Linked DNA regions of Arabidopsis thaliana. The protein of the gene in region 1 purifies or fractionates together with the protein of each later gene. This does not show direct contact. Each region holds a gene or a part of one and is shown on either strand. Other genes may lie near its edges.

Region 1 (16,000 bases):
CTGTATAATTCTGTACATCATGTGATGCATCCAATGAAAATGAGAAGAATTGTTTTATATAGATCAAACTTTGAAGATTCTGATTCAAAAAGTCTATCAAGTGTTAGTGTTTCTATGAGATTCTAGTTGTAGTTGTTATCGAACGATTTGAAATTCGATTTCAAGCGAAAAGACATTATCCAACGATGTTTCTGTTTCTTCTAATGATTCTATGGATAATTATAATCTTTTCTGATAGGAGAAAAAATTAATGTTTCCCAAGTCGCTAATGAAAAATTTGATAAAATTTTATAAGATAATAGGATAATATTTTTTGAAAATCTTTGTGTAAATATATAGTCCCTTAATATTTAAATTGATAATCATATAAATTACATATATATAAATTGATATATTAATGTACTTTATGCTTTTAGTGTGTGTTTTTAATTAAAATTAAATTTTTTGTTACAGCTTATCTCTAATTTTTATTGTATAAAAAAATTATTATGTTGTGTTTTTAAAATATTGAATCGTAATATACTTTATAAATATGATAGCATTAGTTTGAAAAACTTGGTTTGGAGTGAAACATTCTCTATAGTTTTTAAATTTTGAATATATCTCATTTTTGCGTGTTCTAAAAAATAGAATATATATCATTTTCATTTTAATAGTTTTATTTTTAAGAAAAAAAATACGACAAATGAAGTCAAAAGAGTATGTAGAACTGAATTCATCTAAAGAGTTTGTATTTTTTTTTTTAATTTACATCTATCGTTTGTATAAGTGAATTCATCTAAAAGATTTGTAATTTATTATCAAAAGATGGTTTTCCTAAATATTAAAATTTTACAATATATCAAAACTATAAAAAAATGATAACATGCACAACACTAATTTTGTTTAGATAAAAATTTCTTAATTCATCTTTTAATAAAAATTTAACAATTAATTCTTTTAAAAATTATTAAATAATAGTAGATAAACTAATAATACTATAAATTAATAAAATATCACATGATCTCAACATTTTTATTTTATAGAGGTTTTACTGTATATGGAAATAAGAAAGGTAAAATATTAGTAGAAAATTTGGAAAGAATGAAACAAAGTAGAAAAACTGGAAACTAGATATATGTATATTAAAATTTTGGCATGCATGATATTACATTATACATTTTTATAATCACATTTTTTCAATTCTCTGTATAGTAAATTTTCCGTAAATCTCAGTAATTAACTTTTATTTCTATGTATCTAGTTATATATACACGCTCTTTGTTTATTTTCTCTGTCAACAGTAAAAACAACACACAAGATAAGAAGCTAAGTTAAGATCTTTGAATAAGAAGAAAGAAGTATGTCGAAAATTTTGCTCCTCATAGGACTTGCTCTCCTTGTAATCCTTGCAATTGCTGTTATGGGATACTTAATAATGAAGCGTGGTCAAGAATAGAAGCCGGATGTTTAATTTAACGGTTATGTAGTTTTTTTTTTTTTCTTCTTTCTCCTTAGAGTGTTGGGGTGAAACTATAAAACTTTTTGATTTTCTATTTGTGTTGCTCCATATTGTTATCAGTGGATAGAAGTAGGAATGATTTCTAGCTATTTCATGTGTGTTTGTGTCATAATCACCTAAGAATTATGATTTTTTCTAAATCTTATGGATGTCATCTGACCCCCTTACCCTCCATGTAAATCTTAATGACTAACTTTGAAAACAAAATTTTATACAATAAGATAATGAATTATGGAAACGAACAATTAGCTCCCAAATCCACCTTATGGGCTAGACTTACACCACACAAAAAAAGAAGAAGTGGAGACGTGTCTGTTGTTCTTCTTTATATGTATATCACCATTGACTGGTTTTATGCAGCACAAAGAGGTAAACAACACCAGCGTATGAAAAATTATGATCCGGATATTATAATACCATCTATGGATTTCACAGTCCTTAATTTAACCGAGACTAGTAGTGTTAAATGGGATTTAGTGATCAGGCTTCCTTTAAACCTTCCTGGTTACTATATGTGTCTCTGTTGGAATTGAGAATCCTAGATTAAATCCTGCAATAAGTAAAGCTTGGTTGTGAAGAACAGAAGAAGCATCGTAAGAAGAAGACGATGTCGATGTCGAGAAGAGACGTCGTGAACAAGGTCAACGACAACAAGAAGAAAGCAAAGTCAACACAAGGAGATGTTGGGCTTTGTAGTTTTGTAATAATTATACTATTGGGCTAAAGAAATAAATTAATAGGCCCAATGAATCAAAATGTTATGAAATCGGTTTACCATTCAATGGTAGACATAGGATTATGTTGGGATTCGATAGGATTAATTGAAACTATCGGGGCTAATTTTATAATTCTCTTAGGTAAAAGGTTTACTTGAGAAATAATGAGTAGTATCGGGGCTCTTATGTAAATTATCACATCTCTTCTGCGAGTTATTTTTGTTTCTACGAAGAAAAAAGAAGAAGAAGAAGAAACAACAAAAATGGCTTCTCAGAGTTCTTCACTTTTTCTGGTTATCTTCTTCATCTTCATCTACGCTTCTTCAATTCCATCCTCTATTCTCGCCAGAGCACATGAACAGTTTCGTACTTACAATTTTCTTCCAAGTTAATTTGAATCTGACGATGATCGATCTCGCTTGTTGACTCGTATTTGATTTATCGATCTCTACAGTGACGGAGATGAAGAGATCAGAAGCGTTGGGCGTAGATTCCTTCTAGGTTTCAAAGAAACTCCAAAAGGAAGTAATATCACCTTCGCTTGTTCTCCTTCAGGTCCTTGTGTCTCTTGCAATTCCTCCGAAAAGGTTTTTCAAATTTCCTCTCTAATTGCTCTGTTTTGGTATCGGATCTGTGATCTAGGGTTTCAGAACTAGCTTAATCTGATTAATCAGCGAAATTGATTATACAGTGAATTGGATTTGGTTAGGAATCTGAAGAACATTTATATGATCTAGATTGTTTTTTTGGTGATCTAGGGTTTCATAATCAATAATTTATCGGCCTAATTGATTATACAGTGAATTAGATATGGATTTAGGAATCTGAAGAACATTTATATGATCTCTTCTCTTTGTTTTGGTTGGTGTGGTTTCTTTTGTAGAGAAAAGAGAAGTATCGTTGCAGTGAAACTGGTTATCGTATTCCTTTCAAATGTAAAGAGGTTAGAGAAGAAGTGGATGCACATAAGAAAAATGGAGAAGAAGAAACACAAAATGATCAATCGAATAACAATGACGAAGAAGCGAAAACAAGGAATCTGTTGGATGATTCATCACCGGCGACGAAAGTGAAGTCTCAGTCTTACAAAACTTATAGAAGCTGTGTGCCATCTGCAGACGAAGAGAAGTTATCAGTTCTTGGTTTTGAGGTACAGAGAAACACTTACATTTCAACAAGTCGTTTCTTTTAGAATATGTGCTAATGTTAGATTGTTTTGAATAAATGGACAGTCGATTATGCTAGGACTGTTTCTGTTAAGCGGAGCTGCTATTTACATCAGAAAGAGACAGACGGTACCGATGCTTGGGGTATCATCAAGTGGAAGATTGCAAGGCAATTCTCGGTTTTGAAAGAACCATTTCTCGGTATGTAAAAGCTTTCATCTGCTCACTCAGAAACAGATTTAACATTTGTCATTGTCTGTTGAAAGATGAGATATGTTTGAGTGTATAGAATAGCTTTAGGGGGACTTCATATAATTGGGACTACTTGTTTCATATATGGCAACCATGTTTGGCTTTGATGATGTAACTTTGCTTATCGTCTCTGAACTTTAGAGAAAGCATCGATTACGGTGAAACGATGTCCTCACTTACCTTTAGTAGTTTGGTATATAGTATGATTGCTTGGTCTTGAACCTCGGTGATGAGCTTGCTGGTAGGAAGAGGTTAGTACAACTGTGCAATAGACTAGTTAAAGTAAGTAACGTATCATTCTTGAGTCCAACAGGTCCAACAGAAACCTTACACTTATCAATGTGCCTAAGAAATGTGGACCACGGTCAACGACAAACGAAGATACTATGAAGGATAGTGTCGCACCGTCAAAACTAATTTGCAGTGAGTAGAAGTATTAAACCAAATCCAACAAGTGACGTTGCATGTAAAAACGGTTGTAAAAAGTTGATTTAGTTTATAAAAAACGTATCTTCAGCATACAGTTTATCGTTAAATTTAAAAGTAATTATATGTAAATTGCGAGCGATGATAGAAATAGATTATATAACGTATAGTAATCAACAACTCTTGTAAATTCTTCGAGCAAATTTTCTCGTTGGGCAATGTTGAAGCCTGCATAAAAATAGAGACCCGAAGGATTCTTATAGACGGGAGTGGTCACCACGTTAGCAATGGAGATTGTTTACAAAGTTACCTTTTTTTTAGTATTTTAATCTCGTTAATGATAAAATGAATATGTAAGTGCCATTTTTTCAGTTACTTCGACTAGAAGCTAGTGAGTAACACACAAAGGCATAAGATTCTCAGGACAAATATACATTTAACTTTTTTAGGAAAGGTAATTTATTTTGAAGTGGGATTCATGTAAAATCTTAACAAATTTGATCGATGAGATGAATTATGCACTTATGCTTCATTGGCCCTATATTTATATAAACTATGGGATAAATTATGGCTGCTATGTGACAGTGATATAAAACATTATTCCTAAGGAACAATTTTTAATCATGGGTCTAGTCAATCTTGTCATTCTCATCTTTATTTCTGAAAACTTTAAAATGTGCAAATCTTAAGATACATAAAGAATGGCTAATGTTATTAACGCATAATTAATATGTTTTGTTAATGTACAAGATTGCTAATATCTCGACAGATCAACATATATTATTCGATGTTTTGCATAGGGGAGCTCTTATAATGATCTATTTTATTATAAATGGTACTAGACTACTAAATACATTAAAAAATAAAACGGTGAGGAATATAATAAGCTTGATCGGAACTAGGTAGATACTATATATTATGTATTGTGCCAAATTCGACATAAGGACATGCGTATACAATTAGTTATTATAGATATAGAAATTTGTGAGAATACGTGACGATAACTGTTTATGTTTATAAAATATGGTTATAAATTAGGTATGCATGGAATGGTTATGTGCTTAGCTTTACTTTTTGGATACGAAAGAGATGAATTGTACGTGAGAAAAGTACTAGAGGGAACCCTTTGTCACGTGTACTTCTAATAATCTAATATCATATGAGTACATTAATTTTAGTGATTAAGTAAATCTGCATGGAAATACACATTTGATATATATAAAGTGAAGGCTGGTAAATAAATTCCCTTCATGTCACGTTTCGGACCAGCTGTTCCATATTTCATTGTCTCTCTTTTCTCATATTTTTGGTCCTTAACAAAAAAACAAAAAGAGAATATTGCGTTTAATGTATATAATTATCCCTGCTATATATATTTATATTATTTGGGATATAATGAGGCGACATAAAAATACGGATTCATGCTTAAAGATAACACTAGTTATAAAATCTCACAGAAATATATAAAGATTCATAGCAGAAAATAATTTCTCTCTCTCTCTCTCTCTATCCTATAATGTTTCGAGTAAAGTTTGTAAAACATATTGAACAGAATAAAAACCATCGAACATATAAAGAACACCAACCATCCTAACTCAACAAAGTGATAAGACTCTCTTTCTTTCTCTCTCTCTCTCCATCTCCCTCTCTTTCTCTTGCTTTTGTTGTCACTCATCTTTGTTCTCTATTATAGTTTCCATTCAAGAAAATCGAATATAAACCCTACTACTTCGATCGATGTTCATATCTGTCTTTATTTCAACCAACCAACGAAGATAGGATAAAAACATATCCACAAAGGCTAGAAACCATGCGAAATAACCATTCCCTTCGTCTCCAATTGTGGTTCCGTACACTATTTACTGTTGGTGTAGTCACTCTTCTTATGATCGATGCGTTTGTATTACAAAACAACAAGGAGGACGACAAAACAAAAGAGATTACTACAGCTGTGAACATGAACAACTCCGATGCCAAGGAAATACAACAAGAGCTTGAAGATGGTTCAAGGAACGACGATCTTAGCTACGTAGCAAGCAAAAGAAAAGTGCCTCGTGGACCTGATCCTATACACAACAGGTTCTTACTACTTTCTCGTTTTATTTTATCACTTTTAACTAATCCTTACCCCTACCTGCATATATGTGTCTTGGATGTTTCTGTATGATATTTCATTAATATATAATAATATATGACATAAACCCGTGTGTGGTGCCACATTCATATTAGTTAGGTCTAAGTTCAAGGGCTATAAGCCTAAAATTCTCTACAACCCCATATTAGATTCCGTTATGTTCAAATTATACGCGTGGACCACTTGGTCACTTGCATTTCGACCATGGTGTTGTTTAACATGTGGTTTTTACCAAGGACATGCTCTTAGTATGGTCTAGATATAAATTCGATATTGAGATTAATGAATGACATCTAGAAATGACTATATTAGATGAAATCAAGCAAGCTAACTCGTTGATTGTCTATATGTTTATGCATGTTATAATAAGTTTTGTTTCGGGTCACCATAAATATACTTCTAGCACAATTTTACTAAAAAAACAAACACTTTGTTTCTTTTAACTAACTCAGATTCGGTGAGACATATCACAGAAGCTCGCAAAAGGCTGTCTGCTAGCTTTATTCAGTCTTTACGTTTAACAATCTATTTTTAATTATTCACTATAAGATGGCTTCTTTTAAAAACTTTCTTTTTTCCTTTATGGAAGCTTTAGCCCTTTGAACACTCCCTTTTTTTTCTTAGTTATATAGGTAACCCACTTATGATCACAGTTAATTCCATGTAGATCGTATTAAAGTAGTCTATTGACTAAATCACTAAAATATCAATTAATGAATTAATGTTGTATGATTTGTTATCGTTTATACGAAAGTAAAGAAAAACAAGAAAACATGACTTGGATTAAGTAACTCTATGTTCTGTCTTAATACAGGAGAGCAGGGAATTCAAGACGACCACCAGGAAGAGCATAAGTACGGTTAAAGCTTGGGTAAGAAGCAGAAAGAGAGAGAGAAGTATAATTGTTGGCAAATTAATATAGGTCTTGTATTGCTGCTAGATTCTCTTTTCCTTTCATTTGGGATCGAATCTTTTAAATATGCGCAAAATATTTGTGACCCTACAATTCTGTTTTTTTTTTTTTTAAATGTTTGTTTTGTTCCTATAGTGAAGAAATATTGAGCTAGTTAGGGGAGGTTTTAAAAAAATGAAGACACTGATTATTAAAAGGATTTCAAGAAAGAAAAGAAGTATACGTACATGCAATGCAATCCTGTTTTCTCACGCATTGCACGACTTATATTGGGATTATTTCTAATTTGATCCATCATCAAATAACGTTTAGATGCTTTATTTCCTTACTCACATTGTTTATTGGGTACTTGCACTAAATGATCATTAACATTTATTAAGTTAGGTAAATAATTGTGTACTCCTTTTATGTGCAAAAACACAAAATGGGTACTATTTTATTACTAACATGCTTTCTTATCAAATAGCAGTACCCTATGTTGTTCTAAATAACATGCTAATTCAATTCAGATTTGGCAGACAAAATAACATGGTATTTTAGAGAGAGCGCGCACAAGTGTGTTTTTTTAAAACAAATGAAAACATCATAATTACGTACCTGATTGACCCTTGTGTATATATTCACGATTAGAAATTGTAGATTACCAAAACACTCGCACAAAATGGTTCTATATATAGACAATATATGATTCTTATCACATGTTTTGAATGAAAAAAAAAGAATTAAGATGGATTTTTTTTTTGTAAAGAACAATTGTACTTTGAAAGAGTCTTATCCAATCATTAAAAAAAATGTCGAATCCATTATTTATTGATGTATTCTGAAAGCATATATTCTTCCAAAGGGGCAAATAAAAGAGATGTCGACAAAGATTGGATACATAAGATATTAATAATTTATAAATGCAATGGCATATATATATGATATAATTTGAGCTCTAAATGCCGAAATTTGAAAAGGAGAATGTGTGTAATGGTTCTTACAAATAAAGGAGACCACAATGCTTCTTTGTGTTATGCTTTTTTCCCATCTTTTATTCTTTTGTTCTTTTGTGGGGTTAACTCTACCACTACTCATTTTCTCGCTCTTTTTTCACTTATTTTCCATATATTTCTAATTTCTAAATTAATTTTACTAATCTTGAAATACAAAAAACTATTAGACTTAGCTTACTAATTTACTACACCACCAACATACACACTACGCAACATATGCTAATATGTATTAAAATGAAAAGAACAAAAAATGAGAACCGGTATTACAATTTATCGTAGTGTATGACTAGTTATGAGATGAGAAGGTTCTTGAAAAAAGAATTACTAACCAAATAATGTAGATTAATTATTTGCAAATAAAGAAAAGCAAGAATATATAGCAAAATCATGAGTTTACGGTTCGGCTCTATAAAATCTTCTACAACCATCCACGATAAACTTGATACATGAAATGTCTTCTTCCATTAAAACATGAGTTCCACATATAAAATGGTTTACAAGTAACTCTCGAACATATGTGCATGGTAAAGCAAATATATAATACCATTATTTTTTCTGTCTTAATTAAGCAAAATTAAACATATATATAATATATGATCCCTACATGTTCACTTTTAAAGTTCACAATTTCAAGAGTTTGAATATCTTTAATTTGAATTATTACCAAACGCATTAGACAGACTAAACAGAGACATAATAATCAATCAACTTCTTTTTGTCTTTTTTTTTTTTTTTTTTTTGGGCTTCCAGTCTTCATAATCAAAAGTAACTGAAGACCAGTCTTAAAGCTGGAACATTTGAACTAAACATATACGACTGCTCCTATCGCTCTAGAAATTTTAATTAACAATTATTCATAGTTACTTAATTACAAAGACAACAATAAAGGTGAACGAATAAATTAAAGGAAAATTATGAAAATAGTTTAATTTGTATGAAACTTTTCATCCGCATACCAAATGTCATATACTCTTATCTTACATTTTTCTCTTGGGACATATTTTTGGAGCGAACACTTTCGCATGTACGATAAGGTTCAGTGGTCTGAGCTTCGACTACGTTAAAATGATGATTAGGGTTTACTAATTTGGAATTAGGAGTTACATTTAAGGTTAAAAGTTTATGAGTTTCAAGTTTCAACGAAGCTTTAAAGTTTAAACGATGGTTAAAGTTTTATGATTATGGTGGGCTATGTTATAGTTCTTTCAATTTCGTTGGGCCAAATGGGCTAAACGATTAACGACCCTATGAATGGGCCTGAAAAAATGAAAGCCACGTGTCAGACCCCCACAATGGACTTTGACTCGGTGCGGCTGCCGGAGAGAATAATTAATTATCAACTCCGATGAAAAGAAAACAAATACAAAGTTCCAACAAAAATCGAAATTCACAATTTCTCTTCTTCTAAATCCATGGAGTGATGATGATGATAGATAGATTGAATCCAAACACAAACCGGATCCGAGATTAAAAACAATCCGGATTGTTTATATTTACTTTAGATCGGAGAAAGATGCCGCCGGCGACCGGAGATATCGATCGTCAGATCGAGCAGCTTATGGAGTGTAAAGCGTTATCTGAAACGGAGGTGAAGATGTTGTGTGAGCACGCAAAGACGATTCTTGTGGAAGAGTATAATGTTCAACCGGTTAAATGTCCGGTTACCGTCTGCGGTGATATCCACGGCCAATTTTACGATCTAATCGAGCTTTTTCGTATCGGTGGTTCTTCTCCTGATACTAATTATCTTTTCATGGGTGATTATGTTGGTGAGAGTCTCTCTTTACCTTATAGCTTTTTTTAGGGTTTCTACATTTCTCACATCTCTTGATTTGGATTTGGGTATTTTCCCTAATTTGGATTTGATTTTGTTGACCTTTTGGGGCTAATGTAGACTTATTTGGAAGTGTTTACTAGAAATGGATAGATTATTGTTTATCTATCGAAAAGTTTTGGTTTTGGAAGATTTTGTCATTGAAAAGACGAAACTTTTGTTTTAGCTGTTAACTATTCTCAGGGCTTCTACAATGGAGTAGCTTGACCTTGGGAGATATAACATTTTAATGTAGTTTGTGAAGCTTCATGTTCGAGTACTCGGATTTGTGTTTCTCTTTTCTCTGTTTAAGTGCCTTAAGCTCCGTTTCCTACTTAAGTTGCTCAATTAGCTAACTAATGGATCATTGTTAAACTTGTGAAGATCGAGGGTATTATTCTGTGGAGACAGTCTCACTTTTGGTAGCACTGAAAGTTCGTTACAGAGATAGACTTACTATCCTAAGAGGGAATCATGAAAGCCGTCAAATTACTCAAGTGTAAGTTGTTTTCTCTACTAAGTTTTGTATTATAAGCTTCTCAGCCTCTCTCAAAATGTTTCTTGCTGATTGCTTACCTTTTTCAGGTATGGGTTTTATGATGAATGTTTGAGGAAATATGGAAATGCTAATGTATGGAAGCACTTCACTGATCTTTTTGATTATCTTCCACTTACAGCTCTTATTGAGAGTCAGGTATTTAAAAAACTAATGAGCGTTTTCACTACCTTAGACAATCTCTTCTCTGTTTCTGCTGTTTTGGACTTGACTACAGAACTCTTTTTTTCTGTAGGTTTTCTGTTTACATGGAGGACTTTCACCTTCTTTAGATACACTTGACAACATCCGATCTTTAGATCGAATTCAAGAGGTTAGTTCCAGAATCCAAACCAACAAAAGGATGCACCTTACTTGATGTTTACATAACGAGACTAAGATGTTTGTGTTGCCTCTAGGTTCCACATGAAGGACCAATGTGTGATCTCTTATGGTCTGATCCAGATGACCGATGCGGTTGGGGAATATCTCCTCGTGGTGCAGGCTACACTTTCGGACAAGATATCGCTACTCAGTTTAACCACACCAATGGACTCTCTCTGATTTCAAGAGCACATCAACTTGTCATGGAAGGTTTTAATTGGTGCCAAGAAAAGAACGTTGTGACTGTATTTAGTGCCCCAAACTATTGCTACCGTTGTGGCAACATGGCTGCGATTCTAGAGATCGGTGAGAACATGGACCAGAATTTCCTTCAGTTTGATCCAGCTCCACGTCAAGTCGAACCCGAAACCACTCGCAAGACTCCAGATTATTTTTTGTAAGTACCAAAAGAACTAAAGCTGCAATTCCACACACTAGCTCTTCGTCTCTTTTGCTTCTATTCTTAACCACTTTTTGTAATTTCATATTCCTTACGTCTATTTCTGTTTGTTAAACTCTCCATTGTCTTTTAAAATCCGTAATTTTTTGTGTGCAAAGATTCTGGTCCAAGTAACTGAAACCGCTATCACCAAATTCTATTGAAGCCAACTTTGTACAGAGAAATGATGATCATGTTACACAGCAAAAGCCCTAGCTAGGTAGATATAAATATGAATGTTGTGGAGAGGTACAGACAATAAACAAACAAGCTGGAGCTGAGATCTAATCTATAGAAAAACAACACTCAGATCAAAATAAGATGAATCGAGAGTTTCAAGAGCTTTCTAGTTCGCTTTGGATCCAATCTTGTGCACACATCAAGGCTTGCACGGTACTCGGTCTAAGCGAACGCCATGTTTCACTAACCCGTCTCCTTTGACAAGTTTCAAAGGCGTCTTCTTCTGATGATACATTCAACATTGGAACTGCTAACACGTTACGTGCCATCATGGAGAGAATTGGGTACTTAGGTGTGTGAACTTTCCACCAGTTCAGGATGTCGAAATCTGAATTCCGGGGAAAAAGTGGCTCTTCTAGATACTTTTCTAGATCTGATTTAGAGTCTTGACCCGGTGTAGTAGTTGTTTCGTTAATGTACCTATCGAATTCTGTGAGTCTATCGTCAGGCTCTTTCCCATGGGCAACACCGTTTGACCGATGATGATGATTCTGCCAGTCAAGAGCTTGATTTGACGACGCTAATAGCGATCCTACAGAATGCTCATCGTACAGCAGTTTGATGCACTCAGAAATATCTTCAATGAGCTCTGAAGCACTAGTACCATAAAACAGAGGGTAATAGTATTCAACCAGCTTCATTTTGAACCGCGGGTCTAATATGGTAGCGATGGCTAGAACCAGGTAGTTTTTATCCCAGAAATCGTCAAATTTCTTTCTCATGTTTACAACTAGAGAGCTAATGAAATCATCCGGGTTCTTGCTCCACTCAATTAACCGGAGGTGTATGTCGCATACCTCTGGGAAGTACATATTGGCGGGTAAACAACTGCTCTTTGTGAATGCATTTATCACTTCAACAAAGACTTTCAAGAACTCAACAATTGTTCCTAATCTCTCCCATTCCAAATCAGATGGACATAACACGGAATCAGGATCATGTTCATTCATGAGCGAAAACGCGCTCTTTTGCTCTAAAGCATTCTCCAGCATGGTGCATGTTGAGTCCCATCTCATTGGGTCATCGATGCATAGGTTCCTTTCACTTACAGCTCCCGTTTCAACTATCCACTGGTTGAATCTATCTTGAATAGATTCTGAGCTTTTAACATATCTAATACTCTCTCGAATAATGTTTATTGTGTCACAACAAGCTTCCAGGGAATCTTGAACCATCTCGTTAATGACATTAACTCCACAGCTCACATCAAACAATTGGCCGTAACAGTAAAGGAACTTATTCTGCGATAACCGGTCTCTGATTTTACTAGCTACGTTCTCACTAAACGGAGGAGCATGACTCGACGCCATAGAAAACAACTTCCGGTCAATATCCCACTCCATCAAACACGTCATTATAACTTCAGCAAGCATCTCACCACTATGAGATGGATCAACCATAAAGAAGTTCAAAACTCTCTTTTTCAATTCCCATCCTTCATCAATATAATGCGCTGCCAAACACAAGAATTCATCAGAATCACCCGAACCACTCCACACATCAACACTAATACTAATCTTCCCAGGTAACTTATCCAACGCTTCGAAAATCTTATGCTTCTCTTTCGCATAAATCTCCATACAATCAGATTCAACTCTTTCAAAAGCAACAAGCTCAAACAAAGGCTGTAAATTTCCAATAAACATTCTGAATCCAACATCTTCAACCATACTCAACGGATAACCATGTAAGATAATCATCCTGGCTAAATCGAATCGACACCGCCTCTGATCCAAACCCATACTCACAACATTAACATCTTCATGTTCTTCTTTCTCATGTTCATATCTAACATTCACTACACTAAGCACTTCTTCATCCTTTATCCGCTCATTAGCTAACTCTTTCTTCTTCCCCTTAACGAAATACTGAGCAACACCGTTGTTGTTACCATTAGTTCTCCTCCTACATCTAATCAAATGGTTCCTCAAATGCGAAGTCCCGCTCGCGCTTGAGCCGCTAAGTCGCTTCTTACAATGCCTGCAGATTGCAATGTATGTCTCACCTTTTCTAACTCTATCGAAATCATTCCACACTACTGATTTCAATCTACCAGATTTTACAATCACTGCATCTGACAAATCCATCTCATTGTTTATCATCAGTTTCTTCTGTCTCCTACACATGTAAACAAATAGCAGAATTTTCACCAGATAATTCGAATTCAAACAACGAAACCAAGTTACACAAAACCTAAAATCTCATAGTTTCCATTTGCATAAAGCTTTTAAGAAACCATCGAATTGTCAAGAAAAAAGGTTAGAATCTGAGCTCTAAAGCACATGTACCTCTTCATTCAAGTCGCAGCGGTAAGCTTCTCACTGGTGGTTTAACGGCGGCGAAGTCTCTCAGTGTCGGTGGTCGCGGCGGTAGGGTTTTAAGAAGAGGAAGAAAAAAAAGCTGAAAGCTTTTCTGTTAGCGAGAGATATTTTTTTGAAACGGCGAACAAAAAGTAAATTTACGAAATGAGACCTTGGATTCATGTAACTTTAGAAATATAGCCCAAAGTTAGTTTATCATCAAAATTGTCCTTTTTTTTAAATCTAATATTAAATTATATTCAAAGAAAAATAAACTTTTATACATGTAAATGCAAAAGACTTTTCTTAAAAATTAAAAGAGATATTATCGATGGTGTTATCTTGTCAAAGCAAACCACGTTTGGATCCCGCCTTTGTATTTCTCACAACTCCCTCTCCTTGTTGTCCTTAACTGGTTTCTAATGTTTTTGTCTATCAAATTGTACTTTTTCGATTGCTTATGTTCATATAAACACACTTCTCTCCACGTCGCAAGGTTTGAGCCTGAACGTCTGCGATATGTTGTTCATCTTGTCGAACATAGAGCCGCTTTGGAAGCTCGCAGTCACTGCTTTGAAACCCCTCTCCGCGTTGTTTAAGTAACTAGAGTTGTATGACTCAGCTGCTTTTGAATTGTGGAGCCGATATTGAGGCTCAGAATGAAGTTGGACATACTTCTCTAAGAATTGCTCTTCAAAAATGAAAATCTCGATCTTTCAAGTAAATTTGTTTATCTTTTAAACTTTGTTGTGAGTCTTTGTAAATGAAAAATAACATGTTTATGTCCTCTTGATTGCAGCTTCTTCTTGAAAGAGGTGTCAATCTGAATGCTTTTAATTTTTATTTGCATAAAGCTTTTAAGAAACCATCTTTATAAATATAGCCCAAAGGTATGTTATTATCAAAATGGTGTTGGTGAACATGTTGATGTTGTTACCTCCTCGGATGTGTCTCTCGACATGGATTTAATCAAATTTTTTTTTTAAATTGTTTTTTTAATAAACTTATGGTACATAAATTAACAGTTGTATAGTCTTATCAAAATCACAAAAAAAAAAACGATGTAGTAAAAATATTAATAGTAAAATCTATCAAGAATTAATAAAATATTTTGAAAACATACAAAATTCCAAGAGAAATTATAGCGGGTTGCAAAAATGGATCACCACAAACAATAATAGCAAACGAGAACAAAACTCAAAACAATTTAGGTCTCTGAAACAGTATATATACTCATGGCCATCTTTCCATCAAATCATCCAGAAAAAAAAAACGAAAAAAAACAAAAAAAAATAATAAAACAAAAAAAACTTTTTATTTTTAAATAAAAATAAAATAAAAAATGGGATACACAAATGTGTCCATTTTATTAGGCCTGTTGATGGTCTTTGTTACACCGATGGTGTTCGCAGATGATGTGACACCAATCCCAGAGGGCAAACCCCAAGTGGCGCAGTGGTTCAATGCCAACGTTGGTCCATTGGCTCAACGTAAAGGCTTAGATCCTGCTCTTGTAGCTGCTGAGGCTGCTCCACGTATCATCAACGTACTATTCACACTTATTGTCTTAAACTCATCCTTTGTACCAATAGATTTTGATACAATTTTTTTGAAAAACATGTAAAAATTATTGCAGGTGAATCCAAAGGGTGGTGAATTCAAAACACTAACGGACGCAATAAAGAGCGTTCCTGCAGGGAACACAAAGCGGGTGATCATAAAGATGGCTCCTGGTGAATACAAAGAGAAGGTCACTATCGACAGGAACAAACCCTTCATTACATTGATGGGACAACCCAATGCCATGCCTGTTATCACCTATGACGGTACCGCCGCCAAGTATGGAACCGTTGATAGCGCCTCTCTCATTATCTTATCCGACTATTTCATGGCCGTTAACATCGTCGTTAAGGTAAGTGATCCTACTATATATCATACATCTATGTGACTAGTCGACTATTTCATGGCCGAGTGATTTATTTTTTTGCATATGTAGAACACTGCGCCGGCACCAGATGGTAAAACTAAGGGAGCACAAGCTTTATCCATGAGAATCTCCGGAAATTTTGCTGCTTTCTACAACTGCAAATTCTACGGTTTCCAAGACACAATCTGTGACGATACAGGAAACCATTTCTTCAAGGATTGTTACGTTGAAGGAACATTCGATTTCATCTTCGGAAGTG
Region 2 (15,027 bases), on another chromosome or scaffold:
ATACAAATCATGTTAATGTATCAAACACTACTTTTATTCTACTTTTTCTATTTTGCTATTTTTTATAGTCATTATCTGATATTTGTAACTTAGCTGTTTGCTATTTAACCTTTTTTAGTTTAGTATTTTAACTTAATCTTCTCTTATTATTACATTTTTTGGTCTACATGATATATGATTTTTTTGTACCTTATGATAAATTGGTAATATTAATAATGACATACACATTTTTCAAGTAAGTTTTTTTGGGATCTTAGATATACCAAAACATTCAATACAAGACACTTTCTCCAATATGGGTATATGTAAATGCAAAGAGAGATACCTAAAAGTGTTGACTTAAATGACTCTTTAATTTTTTGCTTTTTGTTTTCTCTTTTGGTATAAAACTTTTGAAATAAATGAGTAGATAGAACTTTTGAAATAAATGAGTAGATAGTTATACATTTGTTATTCAAATTATTACAATTCAATATTTAGTCATGAGCTTATCATGATGTGACTAGAGTACTAGATTAGGAAAATACATGGAACAAAGAATAGTTTGCTTATAATCAAGTTAGATAAGTTTCAAACCACATAAGTAATATAATTGCATAACATTGTATTATATATTGTTGTTGTAATATTTTATGATAGTTAAAAAAGAATAGAATCTTGGATATATAGATAAGAAGATTTATACATGAAAAAAGTATAATTGATTTTTGATCAAAGGTAAATCTAACTAAAAAAAAAAATTATAGAAAATAAATATAATTTTATTAACTATATAATAACATACACAAATATGAACATAAATTACCAATAAAAATAGTTAAAATATAATTATTTTTAAACTATTTTCAAAATAAACCCACGCGTAGCGTGGGTACTCTTCTAGTTCTTTTAAGTTAAGATCATTGAACCGTTGATTTCTCACTGCAGGGTTGTCCACAAATCACTACTGTCACCATTGCTTTGATACGGCAAGAAAAACAAAGATATTGCCAAGAAATGCAATCCATATCATGTTAGTATGTTACTTAGAGCTCGAGCTTAACAACTTAAGCAACGACCATCAAATAAAAGTAATAGAAATCTTTCTAATCATATAACAAAATATTAGATGTATCTACTTTCATTAAGTGGAAATAAGTCAAAAGATCTAACTTTAGTTACTGTATGAAAATATACTTTTTGAAAATCTTTACTTGTTTTTTATTTTTTTATTTTTTTCTAATTTTTTCTTTTTTTAAATTGATATGTCATCAAATAAGTTTTCCTTTTTTACAAGGCATAACTCTCTTTTTACACAATAGATTTAACATTATGTTTGATTTCCATAATTGTCAAGATTATTTTAGGTGGTTTAAGGTTCAAGATTATTTTCTCAATTCGGTTTATAAACCGGTTAACTTGAACCAATAATTATGTCTAGATATTGCCAATGCAAGTTGATTACACGTGCTAGTTTAAAAGTTGAGGCTATTTTTGTAACTTTCTATTGAGAGGATTTTTAATAAGTTTATACCTCTCTCCCTTGTTCACGAACCCGTAACCCTAGCCGCCTTCAAAAATTCCCAATTTGTTTTTTCAAACAAACTTGCTCAGATCCTCTTCTTCTTAGGGATCAATCTTCAAATCAATTGTAAGTTTCTTGTTTCTTATAATTCTATCTTTCGATTGATACCTGTTTCGATATCTTCAAGTCTAGTTTTTTTTTTTTCAATCGAGTTTTTGATTTAGATCACAAATCGACAGATCTGTTTAGGCGTTTTTCTGGGTATCGATTCTTTTCAACATCCATGCCTTAATTTCAAGTTTTCCCCAATTTTCTTAACCCTAATATTTATGTGTTCATCAGATCTGCAAATTTATTTAGGGCTTTTGTTCCTCGTGCTGAAAGTTAATCGATTGTTTGAATTTGGACTCTTGATTTCATGTTTTTAGCCGTGGATTGAAAAATCTAGGGTTAGGTTTTCGAATTTGGGGTTTTTTTTTTATTTTTAATATCTGTTTAAAGTTTGACTTTTTGACTAAAAATTAAAAAATTACACTAATACCCTAGATTGTTAAATCAATTCAGGTTGTTAAAATAAATGGGATTAAAGCGACCTTATGATGCTGAAGAGATGCAAAAGTGCAATGCTAAGCATGCAAGACAGCTTAGTTACAAAAACCATAACCAATTTGACGAAGCTATTCCATATCATCATGCTTCTATGGAGAAGAAGACAAATGTTTTAGGTAACAACCCGAAACCCTTTTAAATGTTTAAATTCATATACTTTGTTCTGCTAAGTTTTAACTTTGGACGTGACTTTGTTGCAGTAGAGGATCTGATTGGTCTCTGTGAGAATCCTACGTGGACTAATGATGCAAATCACGTTGACAAGGGTTTTGAAACAACCGGTTTGTGTCAGGAAGATTCTCAGTCTGGAGTGACGACTCAGTCAGATCTTTCTCATCAATCTTCTGGTTCAGATTTCACCTGGAAGCCAGTGGAAGATGTTTATACTTGTTTGATGAATCAACCTCCTAGGAAACAAGTTCTTGTTGGGTCTAATCATCAAGCGGATATTCCCGAGTTTGTCAAGGAAGAGATTCTTGATCAGTCAGAGGCTCGAACTAAGGAGGACTTAGAAGGGAAGCTGATGAGAAAGTGTGTGATACCAATGTCTGACTCTGACCTTTGTGGAACCGGTCAAGGAAGAAAGGAATGTCTTTGCCTAGATAAAGGCTCTATTAGATGTGTGCGGCGACATATCATTGAAGCCAGAGAGAGTTTGGTTGAAACTATTGGATATGAAAGGTTTATGGAGCTAGGGTTATGTGAGATGGGGGAGGAAGTTGCGAGTTTATGGACAGAGGAAGAAGAAGATCTCTTTCACAAGGTTGTATACTCCAATCCTTTCTCAGCGGGTCGTGACTTCTGGAAGCAATTAAAGGGAACGTTTCCTTCAAGAACCATGAAGGAGTTGGTTAGCTACTACTTCAATGTCTTCATCTTGCGGAGACGGGGTATTCAGAATCGGTTCAAAGCCCTAGATGTTGACAGTGATGATGACGAGTGGCAAGTTGAATACAACATTTTTAACAGCACCAAATCTTTAGATGAGGAAGACAACAATGGAAATCGCTCCTCATATGAAGATAACGAGGAAGAAGAAGAAACCAGCAGCAATGATGATGATGAAGAAGAAGAAGAGGAAGACGACTCATCAAGTAACGATGCTCATTGTGTAGATACGGATAAGGCTTCAAGAGACGGTTTTGGTGAAGAAGTAAATGTGGAAGACGACTCATGTATGTCCTTCGAGTTACAAGACTCCAACTTGATCTTCAGTCACAACCCAATCAAAAACAGAGAGTGCCACAGATCTGGTGAAGATTCATATTCATTTGATGATCAGAGATTCACATCAGATTGTTGGAACAAGAACAACGATCTACTACCAACTTCAAACATTATTGAGGAGATATTTGGTCAAGACGATTGGGGAGATAAAGATGATAATAACTTGAAGGAGAAGTAAATAAAAAGTTTTCTTCTCCTCTTTCATGGATTCTGCAGATTTTTTTTTTCTTAAGTGAATTAGATAAAGATGCAGAAGTTTGAAAGTTTCATCTTTAGGAGTTTTGTGTTGGTTAAGGTTGAAGAAGAAAGGACTTCCTGATTGATTTGACTCTGTAAAAAATGCTATTCAAATCCATGAACCTTTTTTTCTCTAGTTGTTTTAGTCCTCAAGATCTCAATGTACATTATTATGGTATAAAAAGAAAAGAAAAAAAAATGCTAAGTTATCCAAATTTTTGTTTGCAGCTTCAAATGTCTTAACAGTGAAAATCTTCTCTAGATATGTTTTGCATATTTTGAAGATGACAAATGAAAGAAAATAAGAATTGTGACAACAAAATTGTTCAAAAATATATATTAGCAATTGAGAAGCTCTCTTTGAACCAGGTTCACTTCCACACAAAAGAGCAAACAGGTGAATCATGTTGATGCAATTTACCAAATTAATGGATATGTTTTACATGAATAGGCAAAATGTGTGAAAGAGTCCTCACCAAAAGAAAAAAGGTGTGAAAGAGTAGCTTTCAAAGTCCAAGGATAAATGAAGGAGCTTGTGAAAGTATTTTCAAATACATGTATCAGCTCCACTGAAAATTAATGACACTCTTGAGAATTTTATCAATTAATAAGTCTCTGCTTTTTTGTTCTTTCCTTTAAGTTATGACGACACCAAACTAAACCAGCCAAGAAATTTGCAGCAGAAGATAGAGAAGTTATAAACATGAACCAGTTCTAATATTTCGCTTATAATTGTGGACAACTTTAGGATCTTTGCACGCGGTTTAATAAATTCCACGAACTTTCAGATAGATAACTTAGCCTTCTTCCCGATGATGTGCTAGTGAGCATCTTTGCACGCGTCTCAAGATTGTACTATCCGACTCTAAATCTCGTCTCCAAGAGCTTTAGATGTCTCTTAGCTTCACCAGAGCTATACAAGGTCCGGTCACTCTTAGGCAACACCGAGAGTTGTCTTTATGTGTGTTCACGGTTCCAAGATCGTCATACGAACACTACCTGGTTCACCCTCTGTCGGAAACCTGATCAAACCCTAACCAATGGCACCATCAAGAAGTCAAGCGGGTATGTTTTGGCTAGAGTCTCAAATTTACATTCTCCTCCTTTGCACTCTTCTAGTCTCGTAGCTGTTGGTTCTAATATCTATAACATTGCAGGATCCAGCTACCTAGAGTCCTCTTCAAGCGTCTCCATTCTTGATTGTCGGTCTCACACGTGGCGCGAGGCTCCAAGCTTGCGTGAGGGGCTATGTTCTGTTTCTTCTAGTGTCCTTGATCGAAAGATATACGTAGCAGGAAGTTGCTTGGATGGTGATTCTTACACCTATAAGAATTCGTTCGAGGTGTTTGACACTGAAACACAATTTTGGGATCCTGATACCATTACTTGCAGCAAGACGGAAGGCGATTTTTACGGATGCGGAACCGCATGCATTGACGGAGAGTTCCATGTGGTGCCTGTAGGTCAAAAAAGAGAGGCGGTTGCTTACAATTCCAAGGAAGGTAGATGGGACATGGTTGGCCAACAAATGGATCATTATAAGTTTTCAGCTTCTTGCGAGATACAGAATGTTTTGTACTCTTGTACTCATGGAGTGTTCAGATGGTATGACACTAACGCAATGATGTGGAGAGATTTGAAGGGTTTGGTAGGACTACCTATGTTCGGTTCTGGTGCCAATGTTAAGTTGGCTGATTATGGAGGAAAATTAACGGTTTTGTGGGAGGAGGAGTTGCCTTCTCGTGGACCTGATAGCGGCTATAAGAAGATGATTCGGTGTGCAGAGATTGCGCTTGAAAGGCGCAAAAGTTGTGAAATTTGGGGGATTGTTGAGTGGTTTGGTGATGTGCTTACCGAACCTGTAGGATATGTTGTTTTGGAGAAGGTTCTTGATGTTACTCTTTGATGAAACTTGAATGTGTTTTCTTTTGGAATACTTGTGTGTTCTTTTGGTGAATGTAACTTCTGATGAATGAGTCTTGTCTCTTGTTTCACTTCTAATAATTTGATATACAAATCTGTGTGGCAAACAAACAAACAAACAAACAAAAACAAATCAGTTGAATCATGTCTCCTCGTTTTTCACTTGGATCCAACTACGATTAGATGATCCAACTCCAGATTCTTTCTTTTTACGACTAAGAAAACCGACAAAGTACCCAAAAATCACTCCCACAACCATCACACTTGCTCCTTCAATGTACCACAAGACTGCAAAGTCAGATTCTGATCCAAAGTTTGAGTCTTTAGTACCATCATCACTACCGCTAATAACTTCCCCAGAAGCCAAAATCTCAACAACATCATGAACTTCTCCGTCATGGTTTCCCACATAAGAAAGAGTAAGTCTTTCCTTATTAGCAACCAAACGAATGTACCCAAACTCGCCTCCACGGTACATTGAGTTAGCAGGCTGAGGAAAGATCGGGACATCCTCGTGATTAGCTCTCGGTTCCCACATCGGTTGTGAGTCTTTTCCAGCCATACCAATCACAAGATGAACTGGATTTCCTTGCCAACGTTCACCACAAGTATTGTTACTAATCGCACAAAACCTTTCATATCTATGTACATGTCCCCATAAAGCAACCGTCACATTGTTCTTCACTAACAACGGTTCCAAATGCTCGATCATCTTCTCTCTTATAGCAGCGTCTCTGATCTTCCTACTCGTAGTGTACATAGGTCTATGCCCTTGGACAACAACAAACGGTGTCTTACTCCTATTAACAGACTCCAAATCACTCTTCAAAAAACTATACTGCTTCCCACCTTTAAGAAAATCAGTCTCTGTCGAAATATAAACGAAATGAACAGAACCCATATCATAAGAATAGTAAAGGTTCCGACTTTGAGGTCCCTTAACCATACCAGTAGCTTCCGTTGAATTACCAGGCATGTTGAACTTAACACTATACGGTACACCACATTCACCACCACTATCTTTACCATAAACATAAGCAGCCCAATCTGGTTTCCAAGGCTGGTTAGGCCAATCATACTCATGGTTACCAATACATACATGGTAAGGCACTTTAGAAGCAATAGGCTCAATCTGAGTAAAGAACTCATCCCAAATCCACGAGTAACCTCGTGCATAACTTATATCTCCGATATGTGATACAATCACAGGCTTATCATCACCTAAAGCTTCAATGTCTCTTAAAATCCATTTCACAGTTGATAAACTTTCTTCTTCTCCACGGATAAATGTTGTATAAGGTGTATAACATCCCATATCACCAAACATGAAAGCTAATGTTTCTTCTGAACCCTCATTTCGAGAAACAAAGCTATGAATCTCACTCCATCCTTTTAAATCACTCCCAACCTAATCAATAACAAAAAAAAAAGTCAACATTTTGATTCTCAAAACCCCTAAAAATTCAAACTTTAAGGTTTTTTGATTCTACTTACCTGATAATAATACCTAATCCCTTGTTTTAGATTCTTCATCACGGCATCGAATGTCCAACCTGGATCTCTCCATCCGACTGTAGAATTCGCCGGCGCGTGACACATATGTTCTATCTCGTACCTAACTCCACGCGCCACCGCTATGTTATCGAGCTTGTCCTTAACCTCACCGTAGCGAGCTTCTCGTTCTTCTCCATCTCCGGTTACAAACACTACTCTCATCTCGTTGATGTTATCTGTGTAACTTAAATGAATCTGCTCCGGTCGGTTAACAGCGAACCGGAAATTTAACTGGTTTGATTCGGTTAAGAGATGACGAGTTCCGGGTAAAGGATTGTGATCATGGTCTTGGTGTTTCGGGTTTATTTCGGATTGGGTCCAATGAAAGATCCGGAAAGTGTAATTTGATCGGAGATTGGTTAAGGGAAGTGAAATCGAACCCGACCCGGATTGCCACGTGGGTGAATCGGAGAGGAATTTGTAGCCGATGAAGTGATCGTGAGGAGAGTCCGGTGGCGAGTAGATTCCTAACCAGTCGAGATCGGACGGTGATTCGACGCCGGACCATTTGATCACGACTATGTCGCCGGATCGGTTTAAGGTTTGGGGAGAGATTGAAATCGTGGCTTTGGAATAAACAGAGGAGATTAAGAGGAAGAAGAAGAAGAGAGTGTAAACGGCGGCGATCATGATTTACGGCGGAGGATGGTGGTTAGTCAAAAAGTCAACGTTTGTTTTTTCAGTTTTAGTTGGTTTTGGGGTTTTGGTGATAATTAAGAAGAGTTTTTTGAGTGATTATGAAGTCATTGTTTGAAACCAAACCTGATTTATGACTTTTCACCTTCAAAAGACTATGCTATTTTAGATATAAAAAACATATATTATGGAACTAATTATTTATTCCAAATTTACATTTTATCAACCAGTTTAATTGTCAAATCATACATAATTTATTGTTTTGGAAACCAGAGTTGTCATTAATTTGTTAAGGTATATATGTAGGATATGGTTAATGCTTTGTCTCTGTTTCAGATACAAAATAGAGGTTCCATTATAATAAATGTGTAATCAAAAAAGCATAAAATCTCACTTATGACCAAAAAAAAAGAAAGCACAAAAGCTCACAAATTTAGAGTATGAATAAAAAAAATTAGTAAGGTGAAAAAATGGAACAGGGGAGATTCAAAGGGGTGACCTGAGAACACAAAACTCAATGGTTTCAATGGAAATTTGAAGAAACCATAGGATATGTGTTCACATGCCACTCCTTTGAAATTTCACCTCCTGTTGTTCTTCTCTTCTTCTCCATACTTTGCTTTCACTGCTTCTTATATATACTATACTACACAAGTTTCTACATATATAAATACAGTTTACTCTTCTTGGTCTTACTTAGATTTTTGTTCACTTCTGTTCTGTCATAATAATGTGGTCATCTTGTTGACAAAAAATTAGTAAGTGTGATGGAAATGACCACATCCTTTTCTTCACATACGACAACGTTCAATGGAATGTATCAAACAAAGTTGGGCTCAGAATATATATCTAATAATGGGCTATTAATGAGCCCATATGAGCTCTCTTCTCATAGGCCCATCCAAAACTCATCTAAACTCTGCTACCAATCTTCAAATAGTTTAATTATTCTGCCGACAAAATCATAAATGGTCAAAGAGTTGGATAGTCGGACGAACGTGGCATGAGGACCCATTTTTCCGTGCCACTCATCAAAACCTCAACCAATACTAAAACTTTTAAGTGTAGTAAAATACACCAAATATTACTTCCCTATAAAGTATAAACTCTACATTTATGATGAAGAATCCAAGATTATACTAGCATTTACATAGGTAAACAAATACCCAAAACTAAAAGTACCCATCCACCAATAAAAGTAACTCTATGATCAAGAATCAAAGATAATAAGAAAGAATTTATCAAGACCGGTTATGAGGGTCGACTTTTGCGAAATGGTCAAATGTAATCAAGCATCTTTTTTACGTAGGAAGAGAATAAAATTCACTCACTAAAGTCGAAAAGTAGATCTAAGGCGTAAGAATCGTGACTATAAATATCCCATTAACTAGTGGATAAAGAAAAAGAAGACCAAAAACTAGTGGACAAAGAAAAAGAACAAAAACCTAATTTCAAGAAATTCAATAAATATCATCCTCCGGATAAGTTGTTATTGTACGTTTACCAAATTCAAGAACAAGAAAAAACTTTTCCTTTGAAACAAAGAAACATGGATTTCTTCACCGATCAAGTAAAGAAGAAATTCTCCGACAAGAAACCGGAGAGCTCTGATCCGGAGCCAAACCACAACAAAAACAAACCCGGTCACACGGAGCCAACAACACATAAACCCGGTCACGGCGAGCCAACAACACATAAACCGGTCTCCAACACCGATCCAACAACACACAGACCGGCTACGAACGCTGAGCTCATGGCTAGTGCCAAGATCGTAGCCGAAGCTGCTCAAGCCGCTGCTCGTCACGAGTCAGACAAGCTTGACAAAGCCAAAGTCGCCGGAGCCACCGCTGATATCTTAGACGCCGCTTCTAGATACGGTAAGCTCGATGAAAAGAGCGGTGTTGGTCAGTACCTTGAAAAGGCTGAACAATATCTTCACAAGTACGAAACTTCCCACTCTCACTCCTCCACCGGTGGAACTGGAAGCCACGGTAATGTTGGAGGACACGGTGGTGGAGCTGGAGCACCGGCGGCTAAGAAAGAAGATGAGAAGTCCGGAGGTGGTCATGGGTTTGGAGATTATGCTAAGATGGCTCAAGGTTTTATGAAGTGAGTAATGTTTTAGTTTCTAAAAATAATTATGTTAGTAATTATCTTCTATAATTACTGTTTTAGTAAGCTGTTGTTTTTTCTGAATTATTATTAACTGTTGGATTTGTCATTTGTGTATGATGGAGGAAATTATGATGTTAAAGATCATGTATCATGTTGTTGACCACTCGAGATTGCGTTAATCAAATATTTGTATAATTAGAACCGAACTTTAAGTTATGGGAAGTAATACTAATTAATATCGAATTTAAATGGACCGTCTAAAAATAAATAAACTAATTATTATCCTGAGAAGAAGGAGGAAAAACACAAGAAAATGATAATTTTTAGGTTTTGGCAAATAAATTAAACCTAATGTATCGAACTGAAATAGGAAAGCAAAATAAAGTCAATCGAAACAAAAATTTAAAAATAATTACTAAACATTATAATCAAAAGAATCGAAACTTGAATTACTACGGAACCAAAATATTTTGGATAATCAAAAATATCCGAAATCTATAAATACATTTTTGCAGCCATTTTAACAAATAAATCTTAGAGTTGGACTTATTTACAACTCAATGCCATTAGCATTAATTTTTTTTTTCCGAAATAATTAATTTTACTTTAAATTCTTAATTTAAATTGTCAACCACATTATCAATCAAATTTAATCCAAACAAACTTCACATCAATCCCTTAAAATTAGCATAAACGTATTTGTTAACAATATTTTAAAACAAAGTTTTTTGTTTAAATAAATATTATTCTTACTAAACGTTTTTTGTTTAAATAAATAAATCATGTATTTGAACTTATTTACAATGTCATGCTACTGAAATTAATTATTTAGAAAGAAAAATATTTAATTAACGATTTAAATCTTCTAAATCTTTGCTTTTAGAGTTATTATGTCATTATCTAAAAAGCAAAAATATTTTAAAATATTTATATATTTAAACTTTATAAAACATTATTAATATTTAAACTTATAAAAAGTTTAATATATCAAAAATTTTAACATCATTATATAATATATAGTTTAAAAAAATCTCAAAAAAATTTCCGTCATATTTTGTGATTAAAATTTTTAAAAATGAACATATATTAACCAATTGGCGAAAAAATGTGTGGGTTCAACATCCCGCATCGACTAAAATATTTAGACAATGATTCATAAATAAGATCAACATTAATAAAATAAATGGTTTTTTTTGCAGAACGGGTTTTGCGAGACGGGTTTGGGAGGACGTTACTTAATAACAGTTGTAAACTATAAAATAAAATATTTTATAGATAGATACAATTTACAAATTTTTATATATACTAACTTTAAAAAATAAATTGTCCCCGCGGTATACCGCGGGTTAAAATCTAGTATAATTATATTTTCTAAAATATTAATTATTTTTGGATCAAATAAAATAATTAAAAATACCTGAAAATAGATAAAGTAGTAAAAATACTCAAAAATAACCGAAAATGTCCGAAAATATCCAAAAATAACCGAATATCCGAATATATTCAAAGCAAAATAACCGAATGAATACTAAATTTTGAAACCAAAAGAACCAAAACCGATAGCGAAACAAAATTTCAAAATAAGCGAATGAATACTAAATTTTAGAAAAATAAACTGAAAACCGAATGAATACGAACTGAAAGCGGATAGATAAACCAAACGCAAGTCCTGAGATTGTGTAAAAGGCCCATAAACGGGCCCAATATGCGAATCCATTTTGTTTTCTTGTTGGGAAATTAATCTTTTTCTGCTTATTTTAGGAGAAATTGTTTTAATTTTAATTTAGGGTCTCTTGTCTTTGATCTTTTGTACACTTTCTCTGGATTTTCTGAATTCGAACTTTGGAAGAAGAAGAAGCTTTGATCAATCATGGAAATTGCAACCGATACAGCAAAGCAGATGAGAGACGAAGAGTTGTTCAAAGCAGCGGAATGGGGAGATTCATCGTTGTTCATGTCATTATCTGAAGAACAGCTCTCTAAATCTCTCAATTTCAGAAACGAAGATGGTCGCTCTCTCCTCCATGTCGCTGCTTCCTTCGGCCATTCTCAAGTTTGTTCCTTTCTCTTTTCAATCATATTAAGAACTAATCTGTGGTTAGATAACCTCTTTGATTACTATAGCTGCAGTAAATAGGTTGTTTAACTGATGAGAAAGCCTTAAGGGAAGTTTTTGAGTCTCGCTTTGAAAACCACACGAATCTGCGTTGTTTGGGTTCTTGAGATTAGTGTGTTTTAGGAACAGTGTCAGTATGTGTAAAAATGTTTATGGATGTGGGATTTGCAGATAGTGAAGTTGTTATCAAGTTCAGATGAAGCAAAGACTGTAATCAATAGCAAGGATGATGAAGGATGGGCTCCTTTGCATTCCGCTGCTAGCATCGGTAATGCTGAGCTCGTTGAGGTGCTTTTGACCAGAGGTATGTTACATAATCTTATGTGCCTTATTGTTGTTGAAACGGTGGTAAAATCTTGTTTTGCTATCATAAAGCTGTAATCTTTATCAGTCCTGAGTAGTTGATCTCTTAATATCTAATAGTCCTCCATTGGAATTGGACATATAAGTTCCTACTGTGAAGTAGTTCTTCCAGTGTTTAGCTCTAACTTCAATTCATTGCATGTATGAGAAGATGGATACATTTGATGACATTTTCTTTGTGTTTAGGTGCTGATGTCAATGCCAAAAATAACGGTGGTCGCACTGCTCTTCACTATGCTGCTAGCAAAGGCCGGTTGGAGATTGCTCAGCTTTTATTAACACACGGTGCAAAGATTAACATCACAGACAAGGTTTTGTAGCTTCTTAATGTCTTGTTGCTTGTGATCATCAACACACAAACAAACTTTTTTTTGTGTGGCTTTTAGGTTGGTTGCACTCCGCTTCACAGGGCAGCAAGCGTGGGAAAGTTAGAAGTTTGTGAATTTCTTATTGAAGAAGGAGCAGAGATCGATGCTACGGATAAAATGGGTCAAACTGCACTCATGCATTCAGTTATCTGCGATGACAAACAGGTAAAATTTTCAATCTAATCAACCTTAAAAGCAACATTTCTTTAAAGTTAAAAGTTTCCATGGATCAGGTTGCGTTCCTGCTTATAAGACATGGTGCAGATGTGGATGTAGAAGACAAGGAAGGCTACACTGTTCTAGGCCGAGCTACCAATGAATTCCGACCTGCACTTATCGATGCTGCTAAGGCCATGCTTGAAGGATAAAATGACTCTGGATTACTTTAAAACTTACTAACTCTGAGAGTTGTTTAGTTACTTAAAAGGATTTTTCTTTACTGTATCATGTTTGCAAAATGTTTCTGCCTTATCAATTCATGTTCTGTCTTTAGAAATTTTCTCAAAAGCAATTTTGGAAACAAGTGAGAAAAAAGTTTTTTTTTTTGTTTGGTTAAAAATTATATATATCCTTCTTATCTCCTAAGAGTCACTTACCCTCCTCACAAAAATCTAAAGGCAAAATGATGCAAACAAAAATCTCTTCTTTCTCTCGACCAAGCTTTAGTCTCTATGAACCAAGAGTAATTCATCATCCTCGTATCTCCATGGCTCTATCATCATCAGCACCATCCCCGTTTCACCATCTTCTCTGCAAGTCCACCTTCCCTCTCGCTGCCTCACTCACCCTTCTCCTCTCTCCTTGTACCGGTAACTACACTACTACTCAATACTTTTCCTGTGATTCAATGTATATGCGTGTCATCATCATCAGCATCATATGTATATGTATGGATGGTCCTCAGCTGAAGCAGGCTTAATGTCGGGATCTCCCGGTATAGAATCAGTTCCAGGTCCTGAATTACCAAAAATCGAGTTCCTTGACCGTTTCAATGGTACCAATCTTTCAATTTCTTGAATTCAAGAACAAAAAAACTGTGTTTCTCTGCTCTAAGAAAAAGCTTGCTAATTGCAGCAAAAAACCAGAAGTTCTACGCAGAGAACGATGCCAGATTCAAAGATTCTCCACTTCTCAAGAAATTACTTGAGAATTCCAAACTCAACAAAGAAAAGTAAGTTACTTTACACACACCCTTTTGGTCTTTTATGATGTAACAGAGCCAACAATGTGCAAATCTTGAAACTTTACATATACCCTTTTGGTCTTATAAGATGTAACATTGTAACATGTAACATTGGTTTTGGTGTTCTGTTTTGGTTAGGAATGAAAGAGAGATTCAAGACAAATATTGTCTGAGAGGAGCAGAATGGGGAGTAGGAGATTGCTCAACCACAGGAATGACAGATGAAGAAAAGGAGAAATTCATCACAATGTTGAAAAAGAAGACTGGTGTTGAATAAAACACACATCATTGTATTTTTTTGTTTGCAAGAATGGCTTTAGAGAGAATCATCTATGCTAATTGTTTAAGTCACAATCCAAATCCAAATGGTTACAAAACAAAAATACATGTAGGCATCGTGTACAAACAGGTTTTTTCTTTTTCTTATCGATCTGCGGTTTTGATATCGAGAAGAGAAAGTGTAGCAATCTCATTCATAACCAATGCTTTATCAGTTTCAAAACCTACATCTTCTTTCTCAGGTTTCAAATCAGCAAACAAACGAAGAATCTTGGTCCGATTCGCCACGAGAATCGCCACGATATCCTCAGGTTTGTTCTCGTTTGCCACAAAGAGTTTAAAGATATGAAATGCTTCTAACTGAATGTTCTTGGTTGGTTCTCTTAAAAGATTCATCATGATTCTCAAATTATCCAAACTGCTCACATACTTTACCATCACACCTGAATTCGAACGATCCATCAACACATCTCCAAGCAATTTCGACGCTTGTCTCTTCGTAAAATAGCTTCCTTTCTCCAACAACTTGGTGTTATACTCTGCGAAAAACCATTCGTAGTTCTTCGCAAGATACTCCGCTACAGTCGATTTATGCCTCGTCAAAAGCTCTCTGAAGATCTTGCTAGCATCGGTAGCTACATCGAAATACGGAAGCTGAACATAATCGAAAAACTTCTCCAAATTCTTCGATTCGAGTATGTACTTTGCAACAACCTGATGCCGCACACATTCTTTAAGCATTCCCGTGTAATGCAACGCCAGCTCATGGTCGTGATCGATACCTTCGACTAACGAATCGATAACATCTAAGTTCGATTCAAGATATTCAGAAGCAACGAGTCGAAATTCGACTTGTTGCTTCTGAAGATTCGCGACAATCTGTGTCGCGTCTTTTCTTGCTTCTAGGTCAAGT

What was found.
Region 2: the proteins of PP2A (region 1) and NRP1 purify together in Arabidopsis thaliana (affinity purification with western blotting, with the first as the bait; one study listed by BioGRID). This does not show direct contact.

What each region holds. Positions count from the first base shown.
Region 1 is NC_003070.9:26,344,128-26,360,127, reverse strand, and holds PP2A (serine/threonine protein phosphatase 2A), read left to right. Parts: upstream 1-9,430; 5' UTR 9,431-9,616; coding exon 9,617-9,872; intron 9,873-10,300; coding exon 10,301-10,415; intron 10,416-10,501; coding exon 10,502-10,610; intron 10,611-10,707; coding exon 10,708-10,785; intron 10,786-10,870; coding exon 10,871-11,236; 3' UTR 11,237-11,407; downstream 11,408-16,000. Other genes in the region: AT1G69980 (structural polyprotein), read left to right, coding at 2,481-2,578, 2,672-2,804, 3,101-3,367, 3,450-3,569; CLE26 (CLAVATA3/ESR-RELATED 26), read left to right, coding at 5,872-6,228; PPME1 (Pectin lyase-like superfamily protein), read left to right, coding at 15,157-15,360, 15,451-15,726, 15,811-16,000. UniProt on the Arabidopsis thaliana protein: Associates with the serine/threonine-protein phosphatase PP2A regulatory subunits A and B' to positively regulates beta-oxidation of fatty acids and protoauxins in peroxisomes by dephosphorylating peroxisomal beta-oxidation-related proteins.
Region 2 is NC_003071.7:1,034,185-1,049,211, reverse strand, and holds NRP1 (nodulin-related protein 1), read left to right. Parts: upstream 1-9,027; 5' UTR 9,028-9,239; coding exon 9,240-9,803; 3' UTR 9,804-10,124; downstream 10,125-15,027. Other genes in the region: AT2G03470 (ELM2 domain-containing protein), read left to right, coding at 2,082-2,229, 2,314-3,518; AT2G03460 (Galactose oxidase/kelch repeat superfamily protein), read left to right, coding at 4,618-4,642, 4,735-5,483; PAP9 (purple acid phosphatase 9), read right to left, coding at 5,643-6,908, 6,995-7,684; AT2G03430 (Ankyrin repeat family protein), read left to right, coding at 11,676-11,858, 12,093-12,225, 12,471-12,595, 12,671-12,817, 12,886-13,020; AT2G03420 (uncharacterized protein), read left to right, coding at 13,275-13,461, 13,557-13,646, 13,727-13,823, 13,974-14,112; AT2G03410 (Mo25 family protein), read right to left, coding at 14,259-15,027. UniProt on the Arabidopsis thaliana protein: Prevents accumulation of abscisic acid (ABA) after heat treatment, thus reducing thermotolerance. May be a negative regulator of the ABA signaling/synthesis pathway.